Linked DNA regions of Alligator mississippiensis. The protein of the gene in region 2 interacts with the protein of the main gene of each other region in a biochemical or structural test. Links are inferred from orthologs where the notes say so. Each region holds a gene or a part of one and is shown on either strand. Other genes may lie near its edges.

Region 1 (3,746 bases), on a different chromosome or scaffold from region 2:
AATAATTTGTTTTCTGCAGTCATGGTACAAATAAAGCATTTATGTCTGAGACTAACTGAGTTCTGATTTCTTATTGGAAAGGATGTGAGAGAGAATTTGTGTTACTGATGGTCGTGATGCATAGACTAAACGAAATAAACACTTTCCAATGCAGTAATCTTTTTAATAATCTTACAGAAACCATGGAGAAACATCCAAGTGAATATTTTGAGTGTTTGTGTACTTAAAAACACTCCTGCTTAAAAATATCTCAGTGTTACAGATGTGGAAGTGAGTGCCATGAATCATGCTCTCTAAACCACTGACCATTTTTGTTGCTTTCCACTGGACTCTTTCCAATTTATCCATGTTTCAAGGTGCAGTGCAGCCAACTGGATACAGTGCTCCAATTGAGCCTGCACCAGTGCTGAAAAGAGCTGGAGTTGCTTTTCTGGATGGGCAAGGGACACTCTTGTTCGTACCTAGTATGCTATTGCCTTTTTTTGCAATAAGAGCACCTTGTGGATTGATTCAGCTTGTGCACTATAATGCACCCCTTTTTTTGTAGGACAGTACCCTAACTAGTAGATTTAGATGAGAAAGTCACCATTTAGAGCAGGTTACTGCTACTTTACCACTGGTTTTTATGCCTAGTTTCCCTAGGTTTTCATTAAAGATGGCAATAATGCAGTTCTACTACCACGGTGTATGTTTTTATTAAATGCTATCTATGGCTTATCATTTCACAACCTTGCCATTGTCCTTTAGCCCCAGTGTCTTGTAAATGTGTCAGTCAATGTAGGAGAGGCCAGGATTTCTTAGGGTGTTTGTTAGTTTTCCTTGGACCAACTGTGTAGTACAGTTGGACACATTTTCGAGAACTTTTTTCCTCAGACAAAGCACGCAAGACAAAAATTGCTTTCAAAAGCTTGCCTAACTCTACTACACAGTTGGTTCAACACAAGATATTGCCCTAAAAAATACTTGCCCCTCATAACCTGGACCATCACGGCTTAAAACATCACGGACACGATCAGTAAAAGTAGGTCTTCACTGGGGCTGAGTCAGGAAGGCTCTTCCGCCCAGGAAAACACAGATCTGTTAGTGGGAGAGGTGGACAAGTTGCAGCTGGAGGCTGGTGCAATGCGCGCAGGTAGAAGCAAGGCGGCGGATGAAGAGGAGAGGCAGCACTGCAGCGCCTCACTCCACCGGCTCTTGCTTCAGATCCAGATCTAGATCTAGACCTAGCCCTCCCGGGGCCGGGTCATCCTTCGCTGGGCGCTAGGCAAGCAGACTCGCTGGCCCCGGTGCTGAGACTGGGAGGCGGTAGCCGCCACCGCCCCCACGTGCGAGTTGCCGGGCGGGAGGCTGGAGGCGGGGCTCGCACGTGTGTCCGCCCCGCCCCCTCCCGCGGCTCGCGGAGCATGAGAGGCAGGGACCGGGTCGGCCGGGGGCAGCATGGCGGGTCGTGGGCCGCTGGCGGTGCTGCGCGGCTGCTACGCGGAGACGCTGGCGCTGGAGGCCTTCGTGCAGCGGGAGCAGGTGGCGGCCGGGGTCGGGGCCGGGGCCGGGCCGGAGCTGGTGCGGCCCGCGGACCCCGCGATCTACCGCGCCTTCGCGGAGCGCCTCGTGGTGGCGGTGCCGTGGGGCGCCCGCGCCCTGCCCCGCCCGCTCTGCTTCCGCCAGGTATCCCCGGGGGCGGGCGGGCCACGGCATGGCACGGGGGGGGAGGGCGCCGCCTGCTCGCTTCTGCCCGCTGTGGCGGCCCCGGGGCCCCTGCGCCCTCGCCCGCCCTGGGCTTGGGAGAGGAGGCGGCCGCGGCGGCGGCACCCGCGCGCGCACCGGGCCCCCGCGTCCCTGCACACGTCCTGCTCCCCTCCGCGCATCCCGCCGCTTCCTCTTCACACACGCACTTGTTCTCAGTGTCCCCCTACACATGCACACGCATTGTTCCCCCTACACACGCACGCCCATTCCCCCTGCACCCCCCCTTGTTCCTCTTGCGTACCCCCCCCGATTGTTCTCCTCACACACACTCATTGTTCCCCCCCTCACACACACAGATTGTTTCCCCCTCCACACATGAGCACACAGCAGTGGGGCAGGGGGGTGTTCCAGTCCCAGGAGGGAAGGCATTTAGGCTGGGGGAAGGGAGCTGGCACTCTCCTCTCTTTTCCCCTCCCAAGAGAAGATGCTGCCCTGAGGTGGGGGCCTGGCTTGAGGATGTCCTGAGCAAGGATCCTGGTTTTCTGTGATTTTAAAGAAAAAAATTCTCAATTTTCCGTTAAAAAAGGTACACCCAAATCCATATTTTTCTGTGATTTAAAAAAAAAAAAATGTAACACCTCTATATATATATATATATATATATATATAAATGAAACACCACTATAATATATATATATATATATATATCACAGAAAATTGTGGCTTTGGGCATACCTTTTTTTTAAACTGAAAATTGGGCATTTTTTTTTAATCTGAGAGAGCCAGGATCCCTGCTCATGAGGTCTCTCCAAGTTCAAGGCACCCCGGGGTATTGCTGCAAGAGGGCTGTCCCTGCAGTTTTAAAATGAGGTTGGACCAATGATTTTCTACCAGCGTGTGGCCGTGCCCTTGGGGTGTCTTGAGATCCTCTTGGGGGTGCCACAAGGTGTCACGCAAGGCTAGCACTATCAGGTGTGCTACACAGATTCATAAGATGTACTCGGAGATTTCAGACAGGAACCCAGAGTGTCAAAAGCGTTCTGACTGGCTCTTGTCTTTCTGAGGCCTTTGGTCTATTTATAGTAAAAAAACCCCAGTGAAAACTAGGAGCTGGTATTTTTCAAGGGGGGGGACCTCAGGTCTCTTCGGGTGGGGGAGTCATGTTTCCTGAGGGGTGCCTTGAGTCTAAAAAGGTTGAGAACCACTGCTATCAGCCGTGCAAGGGTTGGGGGAAGGGATTCCTCTTTCCCTGCTGAAGTGAGAGCACAAGGTTCCTGGTCCCTAAACTGGGATTGGGTAAAACAGAAGGTTAGGTGTCCACGGCTTATTTGCTCTGCTCTTTCTCGTGAAGTAACATTTAAAAATTGAAAAGGAACAGCCTCTGTTGTAATTGGGGCTGAATAATGCAATTCTCGTGTTGCAGAAAGAGAAGGGCGATCCCTTTCTGTTGTGTTCAGTAAACAGGAGAGGAAGATTTTGCAGACTTCTCTAAGTTGCTGCATAAACAAAGCTATTCTTCTGTTGACCTGTTTGATTCTCATGAATTGAGATAATTTAATTCATGTTTCTGGAGGGATTGGTCTGTGGTATAGTAAATGCTGTAAATGCAAATTGGTAGATCCTCTGACCTGAGGATCCTGCAGTCTAAACAGACAGGATGGACTGTGGGTGAGGAGAGAGCATTATCCCAGTTCTGTGAAGGGGGAGGGAGTAAGTGACTTGCCCAAATTCTTCATCCCTGCTTTCAGGGTACAAAAGTCTGTAACATTTGAAAATGCCTGATGCAGTGTGGCATGTGCAGGCTGATCAACTTGTTTTCAAGAGTCATAATCGACAACCAGAGTCTGGGGCTAAGCACGCATGCTTTTGAAGGTGGATTTGTGGTTTGTCCCCCCAAAAAAAGTCTTAGGCAAAGTTAACTTTTTGTTTTATTTTTTCCCTTTTCAGCTCTCTGCTATGAGTGACGTTGTCAAAAGAGTTGTTCAGAGACTTTGTGAAAAAAAGAAGAAGAATGTGCTTGCGTTTGGGTATTCCTTAGCAGATGAAAACACTTCTCATTT
Region 2 (3,746 bases):
CTGACCAGCTTAATAAGAGGCGGTAGAGAAGCAAGTCCCTTATAAGAAGCCTTGGAGGAGGGGGGAGCCAGGCCGAGCGAGATGGATGTGGTGGCAACATTTGGGAAAGAAAGTGAAGTGTGAGGTGCAGGGGCAGGATGGTCCAGAGGGGAGCAACGAGGTTTGCAAGTGGCCTGGAGCACACGAGGTTGCGTTCGTAGGCCGCAGCAGAGGAATGAGAAGAGAAGAGAGCTCCCCATACCCCTTTGGTGGGGGCTTGAGGTGATTCTTGTCAGCAGGTGTTAGTCGGTTGTCTTCCTGCTGGTCCTTTGCCCTGATCGGCCTGAAGCCTGATTTGGCTGGGTGCCCACAGGGCTGGATCTGTGCACAGGCTCACTGCCTGGAAAAAGATGCAATGTTGGAGAACGCGGAGGAGGGACAATGGGCTCTGCTACGTCCTGTTCTAGAACAGAGGCGGGGGGGCTTTTCCTTTTGCTGCCTGGGAGCAAAACAAGGAGCTTGATGGGCACCCATGGGCTGTGTGGAAGACCCTGGCAGGCTGTGCTACATCCTGAGTAGTTCTACACTCAGGCTGCTTCATGGTCTGCTGAGGAAGAGCAGGCAACCGTGCAGCCCGCATGCGTCGCTATCTCTACTGGCAGCTGTCTTCGCGGTTCCTGCAGGAACGAGCCTCGCAGAGCAGCGCGTCGCTCGCAGCAGCAGCTCTTTGGCAAGGTCTCTGCAGTGGGAAGCTCCACTCCAACACAGACAGATGCAGAAGCTCAGGACAGACCAGGACCTGCAGCAGAGGAAGGTGGTTCTGAGCAACCCAGTGTCCTACGCCCAAAGCAAATAGGGAGGTTGCCCTAGCACTCCAGGCCATGTACCAGGCTGGGGCTGGAGTCCTAGCTGGTGCCCTGGTGTACCTACAGGAGACAGTTGGCCCTGGGGGCGCCAGGGAGGGGGGCAGGGGGCTATCCCCAGCTGTTGTCCCCGGGCCTGTGCACCCTTTCACCCCCTTCCATCGGCCCTGCTCCTACTTGCAAAGGCGGCAGAGCCGCCCACGCCCAGGGGACTCCATTTCCCAGCCTCCACCGCGCCCGGAAGGAGGAAGGGGGAGCGTTGCCGCGGCAACCGCGGCCGCCTCTCGTCCTTTCCCCCAGTGCCGCGCATGCGTGCCGAGAAGCTGCTAGAAAGGAGTGGAAAGAGCCGCGGGCCGTTGCGGCGCAGGCGTAGTAGGGTGGGGGGGGCGCCGGAGGCCGCGCACGCGCGAGGGGAGGCGGGGAGCGGAGGGCGGGCGCGCGGCGGGTATTTTGCTGCGTCACCAGCGCCGCGAGCCGCCGTTGCCCCAGCGCGCGCGGGGTATTGTGGGAGCCAGGCCAGGCCGAGCCCGAGCCCGAGCCCTGAGGAGCCGCCGCCGCCGCCGCGCCCTGCCCGCCCGCCCGGAGCCGGGCCCCGAGCCCCGACCGCCGCCAGCGCCATGTGAGGGGGGCCGCGCCCGCCCGGGGGGGAGAGGGGCGGCCTCAGGGGCCACGTGCGGGTGGGGGGGGGCGGCCCCACGCGGGAACGTGGCCTGTGGCGGTGGGGAGCCGGGCCTGGGCCTCCTCCCCGCGCGGGGCGGGGGCGGCCTTCGCACGAGGTCCGAGGCGGGGACGAGCGGCGCGACCTTGAGCCCCCCCCCCCACACGTGTGTGTGTGTCCCACCCCATGTAGAAAGGGGAGGGGCCGAGCCAGGCGGTTTAGGGCGGGGGGATGGGACGGATGGATGGCCGCCCCCCCACGTGCGTGGGGTGGGGGGTGTCCCCTCCCCAGAGGATGGGGAAGGCCCTACCCCCAGGAGTGGAAAGTTGCTGGTAGGCGTAGGGAGCCCCCACCGGGGTGGCTGCCCCCCCCCACACCTGAGGGTGGCTCCAGGCAGCAGCCGCCTGCCCACCCGCCTTAGCTTTTTTTACGCTGGGCTTCAAACTGATTTGAGGAGGCTGCTATGCCCAATTAGCTGTCCAAAGGGGGTGGGAGGGTTTGTTTTATTCTCCCCCCCATCGTTTCAAGTGTGGTTTCAGGCCCCCTGTTTGATGCCGCCCGGGTGGGGGGAGAAGAGTCGGCTCCAAACGCACGTGGCTCAGCACAGAAAGCGGCGCTGGTTCAGGCGCTCCCGTTGTCCAAAGGACACCGGCTCCACGCCTGAAGCAACTGGATCGTTTCCAATGAGTCGCGGCCTGTCCCCGGTGCCGCCCGGGGAGGCGTACGTGGGGTTGCTCGCGTGAAGAGCTTGCGCTCGGGCTTGGCCTGCCAGTGACGACGAGCTTCAGTCGTGTAGCGTTGTGACGAGCGTGTGGATTGAATTAGTAGCTTGTCCTGATTCTGGAGAAACTAAGGACCAAGACTCTTGCTTGCGCTGAAATGGGACATCCAAATGTCCCCGCAGTTGGTAATGCTGGTGCGGCTCCCCGGGAGCCGGCAACCTTGGGAGCGTTTGCACCGGCAAGTCTGCGGGGGCTGAAGCCGGGAGCAGTTCTCCCTGGGAACACGTGAAAGGCTCGCGGACTGCGTTTAGGACTCCCAGCATTGCCAGTGGCCAAGTCCCACCAGCGGAGAAGCACCGATTAGGCAAATTGGTGCTTGCGTCGTAGAGGCCCCTCAGCAGCAACCCGGTGTTTTGGGACTCTGACCTGGCCAGGACGGTTCTCGCCAGGCTTTGGGAGCCTTGATTAGCTGCTTCGTTATGAGTCTATTGCGGTTGCTTCTCTGACCCAAAACTGAAGTGTGCCATTCATAACGGAGCGACAGCAGGGCACGTATTAACTCTCTAGACGTACCGGTGGCAGGATCACTGAATTGGACGCTGCTCGACTTCCCTGAGTCAAGCGTTATTTCATAAGGGCAAATGTTGCCCTTAAAAACCCTGCAGTGCCTTGTGAACTGGGTGGGAGTTGAGCACATGGTGGAAATGGCTTCAGTTACTGCGTGTGATGATTTAATGGGTCTTTTTACTTGATGGTAGGAAGCAGCCTCCAATAGCAGGCATGGGACTGGCCACTCAATGTGTGGGATTGGTCAGCTTCCTTGGATTAGCTGACTCGTTCCAACTTCTGCCCCGACGATGACTCCTGTGCAACTAATCCAGCATCACTTTTTTTTTGTATTTCTCCTACCCAAATTTAATTGTAATGAGAAAGCTAGTAAAACAGGGTTGGTTTTTATCCCATCGCAACTTGATATAGTGCCATTATTGTATTATATCTGCTCACTTCCAAACTAGGGCAGGGACAAAGGCATGGCTGGTCCAAGTTGTGCTGGGAGATGGAGCAGGGAGGGAATATTTGGGGAACCAGCTAGGCCAGGCGGGCATCTCCAGATTGATAGCCTCTCCTTGAGCTGTATCTAGGAGCGAGTTCTCCAAAACGCGAGTGCCACCATTGAATCCCTGGCCTGGTTTAATATACCCCGTGCCCCGTTTCTTTGCTCCCCTTATTCTCTATACTGCTGCAGCTTCCAGTGATCTATAGACTGACGTGGAGTGCATCACAGCAGTCCAGAGCAGGCATGACACGGGCTTGGCTGTCTTGGCAGGGCTCCCATAAGTGGGGGAAACTGGTACAATCTTTATGCTAAATGCACAGTTAAAAAACAATGCCTAACTGCAGCAGCCAGCTGAACTTTCAGGAGCAGCATTCAGCATCACATCATTAAAGGTCACTTGGTAAAGTAGGAGTTCTGATGCTTGCCACACTGCAGTACCATCGCGCTCTTTGCTCAGGTTGAGTGTG

The links.
Region 1: the proteins of PTGES3 (region 2) and TERT form a complex in vitro, tested with the Homo sapiens proteins (2 studies listed by BioGRID). The link is inferred for Alligator mississippiensis from reciprocal best matches to the Homo sapiens genes PTGES3 and TERT.

What each region holds. Positions count from the first base shown.
Region 1 is NC_081826.1:140,166,444-140,170,189, reverse strand, and holds the start of TERT (telomerase reverse transcriptase), read left to right. Parts: upstream 1-1,252; 5' UTR 1,253-1,437; coding exon 1,438-1,665; intron 1,666-3,633; coding exon 3,634-3,746. UniProt on the Homo sapiens protein: Telomerase is a ribonucleoprotein enzyme essential for the replication of chromosome termini in most eukaryotes. Active in progenitor and cancer cells. Inactive, or very low activity, in normal somatic cells.
Region 2 is NC_081838.1:6,974,360-6,978,105, reverse strand, and holds the start of PTGES3 (prostaglandin E synthase 3), read left to right. Parts: upstream 1-1,119; 5' UTR 1,120-1,150; coding exon 1,151-1,461; intron 1,462-3,746. UniProt on the Homo sapiens protein: Cytosolic prostaglandin synthase that catalyzes the oxidoreduction of prostaglandin endoperoxide H2 (PGH2) to prostaglandin E2 (PGE2).